4 linked regions of the Macaca mulatta genome follow. The protein of the gene in region 1 interacts with the protein of each later gene in a pairwise test. Links are inferred from orthologs where the notes say so. Each region holds a gene or a part of one and is shown on either strand. Other genes may lie near its edges. The genes, in order: DHPS, MAPK3, EIF5A2 and NIF3L1.

Region 1 (4,275 bases):
GAGACCCTATCAAACAACAGCAGGCCAGGCGCGGTGGCTCAAGCCTGTAATCCCAGCACTTTGGGAGGCCGAGATGGGTGGATCATGAGGTCAGGAGATCCAGACCATCCTGGCTAACACGGTGAAACCCCGTCTCTACTAAAAAATACAAAAAACTAGCCGGGCGAGGTGGCGGGCGCCTGTAGTCTCAGCTACTTGGGAGGCTGAGGCAGGAGAATGGCGTGAACCCGGGAGGCGGAGCTTGCAGTGAGCTGAGATCCGGCCACTGCACTCCAGCCTGGGCGACAGAGCAAGACTCCGTCTCAAAAAAAAAAAAAAAAAAAAAGGTAACAACAACAAAACCAGCGTCTCCTCCCGAGGGGACAGAACAGAAACGAATGGGCGAGCGCCGGCAAAGCGGTGGGTCTCCAGCAGGCGGCATTAAAATCTTGGCTGGGGGCAGTGGCTCACGCCTGTAATCCCAGCACTTTGGAAGGCCGAGGCGGACGGATCACGTGAGGTCAGAACCAGCCTTGTCAACATGGTGAAATGCCGTCTCTACTGAAAATACGAAAATTAGCCAGGCGTGGTGGTGGGTGCCTATAATCCCAGCAACTCGGGAGGCTGAGGCAGGAGAATCGCTTGAATTAGGGGAGCAGGGTTTGCCGTGAGCCGAGATTGCAACACTGCACTCCAGCCTGCGTAACAAGAGTATAACTGTCTCAAAAATAAATTAAATAAATAATACAAATAAAAAAGAATCTTCATGCGAAGTCGGGAACACATGAAAAGGCGTAAAGGCCTGGCGCGGTGGCTCACGCCTGTAATCCCAGCACTTTGGGAGGCCCGAGGCGGGCGGATCACCTGAGGTCGGAAGTTCGAGACCAGTCTGACCAACAAAGAGAAACCCTGTCTCTACTAAAAATACAAAATTAGCCGCGCGTGGTGGTGTATGCCTGTAGTCCCAGCTACTTGGGAGGCTGAGGAAGGAGAATCGCTTGAACCCGGAAGGTGGAGGTTGCAGTGAGCTGAGATTGCGCAATTGCACTCCAGCCTGGGCGACAAGAGTGAAACCCTGTATCGAATGAAAGAAGAAAGGAAGGAAGGAAGGAGGACGGGAGGGAGGGAGGGAGAGAGGGAAAAGGAAAGAAAGGAAGGAAAGAAAAGGAAGGAAGGAAGGAAAGAAAGAACAAAGAAACGAAAGAAAGAAAGGAAGAAAGAAAGAAAGAAAGAAGAAAGACAAAAGAAAGAAAGAAAAAAGAAAAAGACAAGACCTAAAGGCTCCTCGCGGCTTCCGTATTACGGAACACATGCGCAAAGATGGCGGCGACCAGGTTTACAGGGCCTAAAAATGGTCACGTGAAAAATCAACTTCCGGTCTTTCTTCCAAAAACGCATTCCCTACTTCCTGTGCTCCTGCGAGACGCACGCGTCGGGGATTAACGCGTTTCTGGGCCGCCGTAAGCCCGGCTAGGGGCCGCTGTGACTCGAGAGCTGGCTACAGGCGCATGGAAGGTTCCCCGGAACGGGAGGCGCCAGCGGCGGCGCTGGCCGCCGTGCTAAAGCACAGCTCGACGTTGCCGCCCGAAAGCACCCAGGTTCGGGGCTACGACTTCAACCGTGGTGTGGATTACCGCGCGCTGCTGAAAGCCTTCGGCACCACCGGCTTCCAGGCCACCAACTTCGGGCGCGCTGTACAGCAAGTCAATGCCATGGTGAGGACGGGGGCGGGACTTCTAGGGACGCGGAGGGGCGTGGCTTGCAGAACCAGTGCGGTACGGGGGCAGGGCTTCCAGTGGAGGGGATGTGTCTTTTATTTGAGCGGCCCAATAGTTGGAGGAAGGCGGGACCTATTCTGGGCGGGAGTTTCTGTCCTGGGAAGGGGATTTTGCACTGTAGTAGTTACAGGGTAGTACGGTAGCCCGAGGAGGCAAGGACTGATTCTCGGTGTGGGAGCGGGTTCCAGGTAAATTTAAAGCTTTCTGGAATGGGCGGAGCCTGAGGCTATACAAGTTAAGGGAGGATTTGGGAGGAGGAGCCTAAGTCTGGGCGGTGATTGAATTTAGATTTGCTTTTCCCAGCGGGGAAGGGACCGGATCTGAAAGGAGATGCTCTCTGATTCCTAAAAACGTGGGGGCTGGCTGGGCGCGGTGGCTTATGCCTGTAATCCCAGCATTTTGGGAAGCCGAGGCGGGTGGATCACTAGATCAGGAGTTCGAGACCAGCCTGGCCAACATGGTGAAACCCTGTCTCTACTAAAATTCAAAAAATTAGCCGGGCATGGTGATGCGCGCCTGTAGTCCCAGCTACTCCGGAGGCTGAGGCAGGAGAATCGCTTCAACCCGGAAGGTTGCAGCGAGATCGCGCCACTGCAATCCAGTCTGGTGACAGAGCCATACTCTGTCTCAAAAAAAAAAAAAAAAAAAAAAAAAAGGCCGGGCATGGTGGCTCACGCCTGTAATCTCAGCATTTTGGGAGGCTGAGGCGGGCGGATCACCTGAGGTCGAGAGTTCGAGACCAGCCTGACCAACATGGAGAAACCCCGTCTCTACTAAAAAGACATGCCTGTAATCTCAGCTACTTGGGAGGCTGAGGCAGGAGAATTGCTTGAACTTGAGAGACGGAGGTTGCGGTGAGCCAAAATTGCGCCATTGCACTCTAGCCTGGGCAACAAGAGTGAAACTCTGTCTAAAAAAAAAGGGTGGGGGCAAATCCTTAACGCGTGTCCTGAGATCTGGTCTGGGAAGGGGCAGAGTTTGCACAGGAGATGTACCTTGGTCTCCTGTAGAACTGGTCCTATATCCCTGACTGTGCAGGGCCTGGGGTGAAATCTGTTTCTGGAGCCCACCTGGAGTCCTGGGTCTGGGATTTAACGCCAGTGCTTAACTCGACCTGGCTCTTACTCTCAGATCGAGAAGAAGCTGGAACCACTGTCACAGGATGAAGACCAGCATGCAGACCTGACCCAGAGCCGCCGCCCACTTACCGGCTGCACCATTTTCCTGGGATATACATCCAACCTCATCAGTTCAGGCATCCGTGAGACCATTCGCTACCTTGTGCAGCACAACATGGTGGGGACCTGGTGGGGCCGTGGCCTTGGCCTCTGGGTCAATGGGCGATGCAGTTATTGATCGTTTAAGTGAGATGGGGAGATAGGAGTCTGTTACAAGCAGAGGAACAGAATCGAGTTTTGTTTTGTAGCAGAGCTCCCTCGTAGGAGTCACTGGACAAGGATGAGGTTAGAAGTCCTGCCCAGAATGAGGGCCGGGGCTTCCTTCTTGGGCCAACTTCACTGCCCTGTGGCTGCAGGTGGATGTATTGGTGACCACAGCTGGCGGCGTGGAGGAGGACCTCATCAAGTGCCTGGCGCCCACATACTTGGGCGAGTTTAGCCTCAGGGGGAAGGAGCTCCGGGAGAACGGAATCAATAGGTAAGAACCCTGAGTGGTGCTGGGCAGGGGAGCTGGACCAAGGGTCCTGGGGCCTGATGCCCACATGCTTCCCGTCCTCAGGATCGGAAACCTGCTGGTGCCCAATGACAATTACTGCAAGTTTGAGGACTGGCTGATGCCCATTCTGGACCAGATGGTGCTGGAGCAGAACACAGAGGTGGGGCTGGGGCAACCTGGAGGGGCCAGTCCAGTGGGAGTCAGGGGAGGCATGGCCTGAAGCTCACCTCCTCTCCTAGGGTGTAAAGTGGACGCCTTCTAAGATGATCGCCCGGCTGGGCAAGGAGATCAACAACCCAGAGTCCGTGTATTACTGGGCCCAGAAGGTGAGGACCTAAGCAGGGGCAAAGTAGCCAGACTTTGACATGTGTTACTTCATCTTTCCAGCCACCTGGGGATTCACCACTGTTATTCTCAGCATCCTCACGCTTAGATGAGGAGACTCAAACACAGATAGGCATGGTAAATTTTTTTTTTTTTTTTTTTTTTTTGAGACAGGATCTGGCTCTGTCACCTAGGCTGGAGTGCAGTGATGTGATCACAGCTCACTGCAGCCTCAACCTCCTGGGGCCAAGCAGTCCTCCCACCTCAGCCTCTCGAGTAGCTGGGACCACAGGCACATGCCACCATGACCAGCTAATTTTAAAATTGTTTTGTAGAGATGGGGCGGGGGGGCTCCGTATGTTGCCCAGGCTGGTCTTGAACTCCTGGCTTCAGGCAATCCTCCCACCTTGGCCTCCCAAAGTGCTGGGATTAGAGGCATGAGCCACTGTGCCTGGCCAGGCTAGGTAATTTTGTCCCTAGTCACACAGATAACTAGTGGGGCCTCAGCATCCTTATGTTC
Region 2 (4,127 bases), on another chromosome or scaffold:
GTGGGGTAGGGAAGAGGTGACAGGTGTCACAAGTTGCTAAGGAGAGCCAGACAGGAAGTGGACAGCAAACTAGGAAAGCAGTATCAGGGGAGGACAACAAAGGCTAGGCTGTCCCTCCCTGGGCAAGGTGCAAGTCCACAGGTGATTAGGGTGTGGCTCTGAGTGAGAAGTCCTAAGAAGGACAAGTTTCCATCTGGGGGAGGGGAGGAGGAGACAGCAACAGAAACACTTGATTTTAGGTTTTCTGGGCCTCAGCTTCTTCATTTTTTTTTTTTTTTTTTTGAGACAGGGTCGCGTTCTGTCCCCCAGGCTGGAGTGCAGTAGCACAATCATAGCTCATTGCAGCCTTGAACTCCTGTGCTCAAGCCATCCTCCTGCCTCAGCATCCCAAGTAGCTGGGACTACAGTCATGCACCACCAAAGCTGGATAATTTTTAAATTTTTTGTAGAGATGGGGTCTCACTATGCTGCCCAGGCTGGTCTTGAACTCCCAGCCTCCACTGATCCTCTGGTCTTGGCCTCTAAAGTGTTGGAACTACAGACGTAAGCCATTGCACTCTGCCCTCATCTTTGAAATGAAGCTGCAAAGCCTATCTCATAGGGTAGTTGGGAGGTGTAATAGAAAAAAAAAAAAAAAGCATTGGGCATGTATAGTACCTGACACGCAGTAGGACCTCAAGAAAGGCAGTTTTTTTGTTTTTGTTTTGTTTTGAGACAGAGTCTCACGCTGTTACCCAGGCTGGAGGGCAGTGGCACGATCTTGGCTCACTGCAACCTCCGCCTCCTGGGTTCAAGCGATTCTCTTGCCTCTGCCTCCCAAGTAGCTGGGATTACAGGCATGCGCCACCACGCCCTGCTAATTTTTTTGTACTTTTAGTAGAGATAGGGTTTAACCATGTTGGCCAGGCTGGTCTCCAACTCCTGGCCTCAGGTAATCTGCCCACCTCAGCCTCCCAAAGTGCTGGGATTACAGGCATAAGCCACCATGCCCAGCTGACAGTTTGCTTTCTCCCTGTCTCCCTTCCAGTCTGGGGAAGGAGGAAAGAGAGGAAAGAACCATCCATTTGTTAGCAAGAAGTGACTGTGGGCAGAAGCTGGGTCATGTCTCAGAACTGCCGATGTCAGAAGACAACACTCCCATAGAGACCATCCTGTCTAGCCCTCCCCCTTGGGGCACAGAGCAGAGAACTGACTTGCTCAAGGCCATATTGCCCGGCTGCAGCAGGCCTGGGTTCATCAGAGGCCTCTAAGTCCTGTTACACTGTGGCTTCTCCTCTGCAGGAAAGTTTATTTTACTGGGTTTGTTTTGGAGGGTGGTGGGTAAGATGGAAACAGAAAGCAAGCAACGGGTCCCCAGCCCAGCTCCGAGGCTGTGTATGACCAGCCGACTGGGCAAGGTGAAGGATACACATCCCTCATGGCTTCCAGGGTGGACGCACGCAGAATGTCTCGGATGCCGATGACATTCTCATGGCGGAAGCGCAGCAGGATCTGGATCTCCCGGAGCGTGCGCTGGCAGTAGGTCTGATGCTCGAAGGGGCTGATCTTCTTGATGGCCACGCGAGTCTTGCGCACGTGGTCATAGGCCGAGCTGAGGGGACCGGAGAGAGGCTGCTGCTGTGGCCTTACAAAGGGGGAGTCCGGGCCTGGTGGCCCCACCCAGGCCTTGGCAGGGAGGGGAGAGAGCAGGAGCTGGCTCTGGTCAAATCATAAACAATGCTGGTTCCTTCCTGCTGTGTAGGGCTGGGATCTCCAGAGAGAAAGCTGGGGACCAGCCAGGCGGCCCTTCGGTGACTTTACAAACAGAGGAAGAGACTGACCGCTCACTGACTTCCCCTCTCCTCAATCCCCTTCCATTCTACTGGCCCTGAACCCTTCGCCCCCATTCCCAGGAAAGGTTCCTTAACCCAAGACAGGTCCGGGGGTGCAGATGCTGGGGGCACACCATGGAGCAAATACTGGGAAAACGGCAGCCAGGGGAGGGGCAGGAGAGAATGGACAGGGCAGGGGCGGGTCCTAGGGTGAGGGAAGCGGGCAGCAGGGCTGTCCCAGAGCTCACGGTGGGGCCGGGGGCACTCACAGACCCCTCCCAAAACATGCAAGTGGCACTCCTGGCCCCCTCATCTCTCTTTGGGCACCTGGTGGTGGTGGTGGTGGGGCCAAAGCCCTGCCCCACCCTGATCTCGGCTCGTCTACCCCAGGCTCCCTGGCACTGCCTCACAGGGGGAATCCAAAACACCCTTTCCCCCAAAACGGGCCCTCCACTGCCTCTTCACTAAGGATGTCGCCTCCCCGAGAGTACTCATCCTCTGGGCCTCGCCCCGTGTCACTAGGGTCCCCGCGGGCCCCCACATGCACTCAGATGCCCCTCCCATCATTACAGAAGGGTGGACTCAAAGCCTCCAAGCCCCCTCCCCTGAGGACGCAGGCAGCGCCCTCTCCCCTAGAAAGCACTCAGGGGTCCCCTCCCTGGGACGCTCCCGATCATCCCGAGTCCCCTGCCTCCTCGGGACGCTCCGCGTCTCCACGTCCCGGAAAGCGCTCGGCGCCTCCCCCTCCTCTCCTGTGAAGCCCCCTCCCCTGAGGGCGCCCCCTCCCCCGGAACGCCCCCTCACCTGACCATGCCGTACGCGCCCTCGCCGATGTACTGCAGCTGCGTGTAGCGCGGGCCCACGTCGAACGGCTGCCCCTTCACCATCTCCACCTCCCCCGGGACCCCCGGGCCGACCCCCTCGGCTCTCCGGGGCTCCCCACCCCCGCCCCCCTGAGCCGCCGCCGCCGCCATCTCCACTCCTCCCCTCCCGCCGCCCTCCTCCCCCCGGCGGCCCCGCCCGAGGCCCCGCCCCTTCCCGCCCGCCTGTCACCCGCAGGGCCGCGCGCTCCAGGCCCCGCCCCTGCCCCGGCCCCGCGCGCCCCCGGCCCCGCGCGGGCCTGGAGCCGTCACGTGACCCACCCCGGGCGCGCGCCCGCCCTTCTCGCCCTAGGTGCGGGAGCCCGGGGGTCTCTGCTGGCTCCGCGGTCACCAAGTCACGGGGAGGCTCGGCAGCGCCGCCTCGGAGACTGTCCTCACCCTCCTCTCGAAGGCGAAGCGGCCAGGGCGTGACCTACCAGAGCCACCCAGCCAATGTGTGCGGCAGCCCACCAGAACCTGGGCCCGAGATCACCCTAGGTTAAAAAAACTGTTCTAATAAATGAATCAAATTTTACAGATGGGGAATCTGAGAGTTGGGCTAACTAACTTGAGTAAGGTCACTAGTAATGACAGAGCTGAGACTCAAAATGATGTCTTCTGACAGAGGCTCTTTTTAATTCCATGCCTCTCAGAATCCTAGACTGTTTTTATTTTATTTTAGAGACAGGGTCTCACTCTGTCGTCCAGGCTGCAGTGCAGTGGTGCAATATTTACTGACTGCATTCTCAACCTCCTTGGGGTCAAGTGATCCTCCTACCTCAGCCTCCCAAAGAGCTGGGACTATGCGTGCGCTCCACCACGCCCTGCTAATTAAAAAAAAAAATTGGGGGACTGGGCACTATGGCTCACGCCTGTAATCTCAGCACTTCTGGAGGCTGAGGAGGGCGGATCACTTGAGGACAGAGTTGGAGACCAGCCTGACCAACATGGTGAAGCCCTGTCACTACTAAAAATACAAAACTTAGCTGGGCATGGTGGTGGGCGCCTGTAATCCCAGCTCTTCAGGAGGCTGAGGCAGGAGAATTGCTTGGTACCCAGGAGGTGGAGGTTGCAGTGAGCCAAGATTGCACCACTGCACTCCGCCTGGGTGACAGAGCGAGACTCCATCTCAAAAAAAGAAAATATAATTTTTTTTTGGTAGATACTGGGTCTTGCGATGTTGTCCAGGCTGGTCTGAAACTACCGACTTCACAGGATCCTCCCACCTCGGCCTCCCAAAGCTCTGGGATCACACCTGTCCATCTCAGACTGTTACAACTGAAGAAAGGGCCCTCGGAGATCATCCAGTCCATCCCCCTCATTTCACAGCAAAGATATGAGCTGGAAGCTTCACAAAAACACACAGCTCCCAACCTTCAGTAAGTAATCATGTAGTGGGTTTTTTTTTTTTTTTTTTTTTTTTTTTCCCTGAGAAGCTGGGAGTAGGTCCTTGGAT
Region 3 (4,020 bases), on another chromosome or scaffold:
TGAATGCAGTACATGAGAGGGCAGTAACTTATTGCAAAAGTTAAATTGGACATGTTTGAAAGATATGTGAAAACTGTAGAGGCACATAGGAATGTGAGGTATGGGATTATTCATGAGACAGCAATAGGAAATCAAAGTACCACATAAATGCGGGTGTGGAACGGGAAATAATTTCCTAGGTCACCTCCCCAAGAGGATACTGTGGTGAGTTGTGAAATGAAACTGTGAAGGGGGAGTACATCTCTTTTAAGAACCTTTCTATTGCAGTCTACAAGCTCTAGATCAATTTTGAAGACCATCTAAGCGTTCTAATGTGGCACAGTTAAACCCCAAACTCTAAGGAATGCCAATGCCAGGAGGAAAGAAGGCATGAGGTGGCAGAACACCTCTCTGGACCCACAATGCCGTAGAAGTCAGACACCCTTCGCCTCCACAACTTCACAACAGCCTTTGCTGTGAGAAGTGGATTAATTCATTTCACTGCTGGCTTGTTAGCTGGCGGATGCTTCAGGAGTTCCTACCCGGGGGAGCAGCGCTGACTCTACAGGGGCACCCCGCGCCAGTCGCTGCCAAAATTCTCACCAAGGGGTGAATGGGGTCCTCAGGACCCGCGGTGCCGAGCTAGGTATTAAAATACCGCACCTGAGTTCTTCTTCAAGGACCAGGAGGCGGTTCGAACCCCAAGAAAGGCTGCAAGCTGAACCAGAAGCTCAAACCTAAAGTTCGCTTCACAGCCAGCCACACTGGCACTCGCTGAATCGGCGCGCCTCGCGAGTTCTGACAATTGTCATGTGATAACTGCCACGCACCTGATGGCAGAGGCCACTGGATGCCTTGCTTGGTTCCCATTAAAGTCGACTGCGACCCCAACGCAACAAACCTAAGAGTTGGAAGGCGCAAGTTCCTCCGCCAGCGAGCTCACCCTCGGCAATCAGACTGCTGAAAGTGCGCTCCACGCCGGAAGTGCACTAATCCGCAGCACGTGGGGTTGCCAGGGCGCTCTTCACGTGACTGGGCGGAGCCTCAGGAATCTGGTAGCCAATGGTAGCCCGAGAGGGCGGTGCCTGTGACGCTCCGGGGCCTATCCCGGAAATGGGGCTGAGGTGGGGGCGGGTAAGGGCGGGGAGGCTGGGGTGTGGAAAGTGTGGCGGCCCCGCCCCGTCTCTTGGAACTGCCGCGGCCGCCACCGCCGCCGCCGGCGCCGCAGCTGTAGGGGACCAGCGCGGGTACGCAGACGAAAGGCACTCTTTGCCAGCTGAAAGGTGAGGACCTGGGGAAAAGCTGGTGGGGATGGGGCCAGAGCGAGGCAGGGCCGGGGAAGGCGTCCAGAGCCAAGCGCTGACCGAGGGAAGGAAGGAGAATGGATGGGGGAACAGAGGCGAGCGCGGGACCGCCGGGGCTCAGGCCCTGGTGGGGCCGGGCCGAGCTGAGCCGAGGATGCCGGCAGAACAGGGGGCGCCTATGCGGCCGCGGCGGCGGCGTTGAAGGGTGGACGGGGGGGTGCGCGCCAGCTAGCAGAGGGCCGGGTGCCGCCGGCCAGGTTCTGTTACCCCGCATCCTTCGCGGGGACGTGCGGCCTGGGCTGGATACCCCGCAGCAGGGTTCGGGGCGGCGGCCGAGTGCTGGGCGGCGCGGGAAGGTCGCCGGCTTCTGCGGTGGGGCGATGGGGGCCGCAACCTGCTGTTTCCAGCGCGGAGGAGCGCCCAGGGCGGGTGTCCCCACCCTCAGCGAGCTCTTCTGCGACTTCTCATCCCACCTCCCCAAGCAATAGCTGGAAAAGTTTGTAGAGGCCAGAGTTAGAAAGTGTCCACTAGTCTAGGGTGGGTGTTCCTTACATGCAGAAATAACAGGCCCGTGATGCTTGGCACATAACTTGTCCGAAATGAGACGTTTCCGTGCCTACATACCCGTTGTTGAAAAGCAAACACAAACTTTTTGTGTGTAGTTCCCACGGAAAAACTACCATCTCCCCAGCCCACCATGGCGGACGAAATTGATTTCACTACTGGAGATGCCGGGGCTTCCAGCACTTACCCTATGCAGTGTTCGGCCTTGCGCAAAAACGGCTTCGTGGTGCTCAAAGGACGACCATGCAAAATAGTGGAAATGTCAACTTCCAAAACTGGAAAGCATGGGCATGCCAAGGTAAGTGCCCTTGCAGATCAGGCTTTGGCTTTGGCGTTGGAACTTTGATCATTTGTGTTCCGTTACAGATCATGAGATTTCTATACTTAAAATTTTGTAATAAGCACTGTTTTTTCCTTCCCACAATTACTGGGTGATCAGTTATTACGTTGAATACTGAAAGGTAGCAGTCCCTTCTTGGGCCCTTAACAATGTTCATTAACTGGGAACTGAAACTTTCCTGAATCCTAGTGACTTAGAAGATCTATTCAGTTTACAGATAAGAAAACCTGTTCCAGCAATTCTAAGAAACCTACACTTTATTTTTCTTGTGTAATCTCATAATTGAATCACTGGACTATATTGGGTCTTGACATGTGATACTGTTTAGTTGTTTACTGCCTCCTAATTGTAAGACCACTACTTTTTTTTAAGTAAAATCAGATGACCTTGGAAGGCGGAGAAAAGGAATCTGTCGTAATCAGCGTTGGTATTGTGCTCTTGTGTGTGTAATGAGTGATATACTTGGCAGAGATTAAACAGGTTTCCTGTTCTCCTCTGTTAGGTTCACCTTGTTGGAATTGATATTTTCACGGGCAAAAAATATGAAGATATTTGTCCTTCTACTCACAACATGGATGTTCCAAATATTAAGAGAAATGATTATCAAGTAAGCACTGATTTTCTTTAGAATGTTGCTTGTTACTTCAAGGTGCAAATACTTTGTACTATCAGTAATAATTTGACAAAACCCAAGAGTAGTTTTGTAGGTTTTTCTAACCAATTATTAGGCACCACCTATCTTAGAAACTGGAGAAATAGTGATGTTTAACACTTGTACCTTTTCTAGGATTATTGCTAGTTTGCTATTTTTTTTCACATTCTTGCATTTTTTAAAAAGTCAAATACTTATTAGTGCTCCTCAGGCCAAGTGACTGCATATTGCAATTAAGTCCAATGTTTAGTAAAAGTACTATTCTCTCTGTTATTATATATTTCTTATTCTAATTTAAAACATCCCTCCTGGATGTTTTGTTTCTTTTCACTGATCAGACCTAAGACATTCAAGAAACTACTGAAATTCATGTTCCTACCAAGTTTTTGTATTAATGAATGTTAGTCAGAACCTGACATTCTTAAGTAGGGAAATAAGTTGAAAGCCATAAATATAAAGTACATGGTCACTGAGTATGGTGAAGAAAACACGAAAACTATGTAATTGGTTAAATTACGTTCAGTGACCATGTTGTGACCTTTTGCTAAATTATATATGTAAATTTCAAGTTTTAGTTCCAGCTATACATTTGGGTAGGTCATATTTAATGATAGCATTTTGTTGTTTGGAGTACTGATGATAACCAAATAATTGACCTTATAGGATGTGGAAGCTCAGATTACTCATAACTAAAGCTTTTCTTGAAAGTCTTCAGTTTCTACATCAAGCATATCATATATCAAACTCATTTCTGCTCATTTTACGTAGTAAAAACTACATAGTTGACACTGGTATTTGTTTTATCCAACTTAAACTGATTTTTTTCTGTACCCTTTATTGTATAAATTTTTTTAATGTTGCTATCAACTGCACTTATGCAATGATTTCCTTTTGCTGTTTGTCCACATGCAAACATACTTTTTTGTAGTTTTAATCTAGTAAACACTTCTATGTTTTCATTTTCCGACTTGTCATAAATGTTTTCTAGGTTGCTTTGAAGTCTTTGTAGAAATTTGAATTGTCTTGCAAGTGGGTTTTTTTAACCAGGTAGATCTGAGTTTGGATCTAGTTCTGTCACTTTCTAGTTGGATGATTTTGGACAAGTAATACAACCTTTCTGAGCCTGTCTTCTCATCTACAAAATAGGGATAATATGAGGATTAAATGAGAAAATGTACCCC
Region 4 (3,561 bases), on another chromosome or scaffold:
AGGCTGGAGTGCGGTGGTATAATCTCAGCTCACCTCTGCCTCTTGGGTAGCTCAAGCCCACCTCCCATTCAGCCTCCCAAGAAGCTGGGAGTGCAGGTGCACGCCACCATGCCTGGCTAATTTTTGGATTTTTTAATGGAGATCAAGTCTCACTATGTTGCCCAGGCTGTTCTCAAACTCCTGAGCTCAAACAATCCACCCACCTCAGCCTCCCAAAGTGCTAGGATTATAGGCATGAGCCATCGTGCCTGGCCTGATTATTGATTTAAACATCTGCCTTCTTAGGAAACTGTGAGCTCCTAGAAGAATGATTTTGTCAGGTTTGTGTCCCCACATTTAGCCTGGAGCTTGCTGTAGTAACCTCACAGTGTGCATACTGATTGATTTTAGCATTTGTTGTTTTAGGACTGACAGTGGACACCGTTTCTAACTTCTGTTTCTCCTCAGCCTTTGCTTCTACATACTGGAATGGGACGCTTATGCACACTGGATGAGTCTGTCTCCCTGGCAACCATGATTGATCGAATCAAAAGACACCTAAAACTATCTCATATTCGCTTAGCCCTTGGGGTGGGGAGAACCTTAGGTAAATATTGCTCCTTCATTTATCCAGTATGCCTACTGTTAACATTGGACAAAGGTTGAAACTCTTGATTGTATTAATATGTGATAGAGAATGTGTTAGCAGCTCATAGGAGATCATTGGTTTACTTTATTGATTAGGGTAGGCCAGGTCCTGCTGTGGAGTACATCTCATTGGCCTAATCAATGAGATTTATTTCTCTGTCATGCTATGTGTTCATTTCAAGTTGGTTATTTTAGGAAGTCTGGCCATTGTAGACTGGTTGTTGTTGCAGAGGGAGAGAGTTTTGCAGGGTCTTAAACCATCAGTTCAAAATTCCAGGAAACATGTTCATTTCTGCTCAACTTATTTTCCAGATTTAGTCATGTTATCCAATACAACCAAGGGAGGCATAAAGTGCAGTCTTACCATATGTCAGGAGGAGAGCTGGAATCATGATTGCTACAATTACAACATAAATTTTGCACTTACAAGACTGGTAATATTTTCTAGTGAGGTGCCACTGAGTGATCTGATCCATTGCAGTTTCTAAGTCTTGTATTTTTTCTTCTGGCCTTTCTCGGTACTTTTGAGAACAAAAAGAGTGAACAGACATTTGTTCAACACCTGCAGTGAACCTAGCACTGTACTGATTGTCTGTCCTGAGTGTGTGAGCTCCCACTGGCAAAAGCAGTGGGGCACAGTGGTTATAGGTATAGATTCTGAGCTCAGACAAACCTGGCTTCAGATTTGTCTGTCCTCTCTGTTTGCTGCTTGTCTTTGACAAGTTGTTTATGCCCTCTGTGTCCCAGTAGTCTCATTGGTAAAAACTGCATTAATAATAAAACCTAACTCAGAAGGTGGTAGTATAATCCATGTGACATGGCACAGTGACTGGCTCACATTAAGTATAGTTAAAGTGCTAGCTCTTGTTAGCTTTGTGGTTGGTACTATTTCTCCTATGTTATAGGTGAACAGTTTTGGTTCAGAGAGATAAGTAACTGTATTAGTTCGTTCTCACACTGCTATGAAGAAATGCCCAAGTCTGGGTAATTTATAAAGAAAAGAGGTTTAATTGACTCTTTAATTTATAAAGAAAAGAGGTTTAATTTATAAAGAAAAGAGGTTTAATTGTTCTGCATGGCTGGGGAGGCCACAGAAAACTTACAATCATGGCGGAAGGCACCTCTTCTCAGGGTGGCAGAAGAGAGAATGAGTGCAAGCGAGGGAAATGCCAGACGCTTATGAAACCATCACATCTCATAAGACTCACGCGTTATCACGAGAACAGCATGGGGGAACTGCCCCCATGACCCAATTACCTCCACCTGGTCCTGCCCTGGACCCGTGGGAATTATGGGGACACAGAGCCAAACCATATGAGTAACTTATGCAAAAGTCCAGTTAGATCAAACAACCCAAGGGAGTTAAGTGTCCAAAGAAAATGGATAGCAGAGGTGGGATTTGACTTCCAAAATAACTCCAAAGCCCCATCTTTGGGATACCGTGCTGCTGAACTGGAGTGACCACTGAAGAAGTGTCCATTTTAGAAACCCAAGTGCTAAATACTTGGATTTTGGTTCAAAAGTTGCGGTTATTTCACTTTTCAGAGGATGCTTTTTGAGAATAAATAGTATATTTAAAAATATGTGCCAACTCCATTCGTAGCATTCCTCTTTCTCACTAGTCCTTTTAGTTCCTTAGCTTCCTCCCCTGAGAATAGAGATAGTACTTGCCTACCTCTCACTGTTGTCTGAAGACCCAGGTGAGATTACTTTACCCAGCAACGTTGCGGTACTGCCTGGAGCTGCACCATTAGTACTATTCAGTGGTTTGTGAGTGTGCAGCCATGTCAAAGGAATAACGGTACTCCCTTCAGCAGCACATATACTAAAAATTGGATGATATAGATTAGCATGGCGCCTGTGCAAAGATTACACGCAAATTTGTGCATTGTTCCATATTTTGTGCAATTCACAAAGGTTGTTAGTTAAAAAAAAAAAAGGAATAATAACTGTACCTTGGGTTAGCTATGCAATATCAAAAGAATGACCTGTTTGCTTATATTAAAACATGTTTTTTTTTTTTACATGCAGAAAGAACAATTCGTATACTCGTGATGAGACCAGGAGTAAAATCTGTATTATGTTTAGGATTCTTGCTACAAATTATAATAGTAAAAAGAAAGGGAATTGTAAAGTATTGGTCTCTTGTTTCCTTTGTCTTAAAGAGTCTCAAGTCAAAGTTGTGGCCCTGTGTGCTGGTTCTGGGAGCGGCGTTCTGCAGGGTGTCAAGGCTGACCTTTACCTCACAGGTAGGACAGACTTTGGATCTCTCTTGGTTTATTTTTTGCAAAATCAAAAATGGCAGATTTTAGGACAGTACCTGGTACATAGATGATACCTAATTAATGTTTTGTAAACTTGAACTAAACAGAAACTACAACAGAATTGGGACATACTGCGTTCTTTGTGGAGGGATGAAATCATTGAACAATTTATTATCTCAAAAATTAATGGTCAGCATTTATTTTACCTACATTCTTCCTAAACTGTCCCAAACCTCTCAGATTTCACGTCAGTGGGATACTTTCTACCCTGTCACCTTAGCTAGGAAATGGTTCCTCTTAGCCTAAAGCCAATCATCAATTCCTATCAATTCAAGCTCCCAAATCTTTCTAGAATCTTCCCCCTTATCTGTCCAGGCAGTGTCTCCTACTTGAAGTACAGCATCAACCCTCTAATGTTATCTTCCATATATTCTCCTGAAATTAACTTTTCACAGTGCGTATTTGATGGTCTTGACTAAAAAGACTTCAGTGATTTCCTTCATCTGTCTGGTAGAGCCTGAACATTGCATCCTCTTTCTTGTACCCTTTGCATATGCTGTTTTCTTTGGTTAGAATGCCTTTTCCTTGTTCTTCTTGTGATAAGTGAGCACCCCCTCTGAGAAGCCTTCTCTGACACTGTCCTGCTTCTGCCTCTTGTGGGTCCCTGTCA

Evidence for each region.
Region 2: the proteins of DHPS (region 1) and MAPK3 interact in binary tests that used the Homo sapiens proteins (3 or more experiments, as listed by UniProt). The link is inferred for Macaca mulatta from reciprocal best matches to the Homo sapiens genes DHPS and MAPK3.
Region 3: the proteins of DHPS (region 1) and EIF5A2 interact in binary tests that used the Homo sapiens proteins (3 or more experiments, as listed by UniProt). The two-hybrid records come from large-scale screens. The link is inferred for Macaca mulatta from reciprocal best matches to the Homo sapiens genes DHPS and EIF5A2.
Region 4: the proteins of DHPS (region 1) and NIF3L1 interact in binary tests that used the Homo sapiens proteins (3 or more experiments, as listed by UniProt). The two-hybrid records come from large-scale screens. The link is inferred for Macaca mulatta from reciprocal best matches to the Homo sapiens genes DHPS and NIF3L1.

What each region holds. Positions count from the first base shown.
Region 1 is NC_133424.1:13,230,718-13,234,992, reverse strand, and holds the start of DHPS (deoxyhypusine synthase), read left to right. Parts: upstream 1-1,458; 5' UTR 1,459-1,487; coding exon 1,488-1,694; intron 1,695-1,795; exon of another isoform or gene 1,796-2,136; coding exon of another isoform or gene 2,137-2,217; intron 2,218-2,888; coding exon 2,889-3,053; intron 3,054-3,291; coding exon 3,292-3,413; intron 3,414-3,494; coding exon 3,495-3,591; intron 3,592-3,670; coding exon 3,671-3,757; intron 3,758-4,275. UniProt on the Homo sapiens protein: Catalyzes the NAD-dependent oxidative cleavage of spermidine and the subsequent transfer of the butylamine moiety of spermidine to the epsilon-amino group of a critical lysine residue of the eIF-5A precursor protein to form the intermediate deoxyhypusine residue.
Region 2 is NC_133425.1:28,437,033-28,441,159, reverse strand, and holds the start of MAPK3 (mitogen-activated protein kinase 3), read right to left. Parts: upstream 2,855-4,127; 5' UTR 2,786-2,854; coding exon 2,616-2,785; intron 1,592-2,615; coding exon 1,409-1,591; intron 1-1,408.
Region 3 is NC_133407.1:82,589,659-82,593,678, reverse strand, and holds the start of EIF5A2 (eukaryotic translation initiation factor 5A-2), read left to right. Parts: upstream 1-1,180; 5' UTR 1,181-1,262; intron 1,263-1,945; 5' UTR 1,946-1,980; coding exon 1,981-2,145; intron 2,146-2,689; coding exon 2,690-2,794; intron 2,795-4,020. UniProt on the Homo sapiens protein: Translation factor that promotes translation elongation and termination, particularly upon ribosome stalling at specific amino acid sequence contexts.
Region 4 is NC_133417.1:106,002,300-106,005,860, forward strand, and holds part of NIF3L1 (NIF3-like protein 1), read left to right. Parts: intron 1-447; coding exon 448-586; intron 587-2,428; exon of another isoform or gene 2,429-2,530; intron 2,531-2,792; coding exon 2,793-2,876; intron 2,877-3,561. UniProt on the Homo sapiens protein: May function as a transcriptional corepressor through its interaction with COPS2, negatively regulating the expression of genes involved in neuronal differentiation.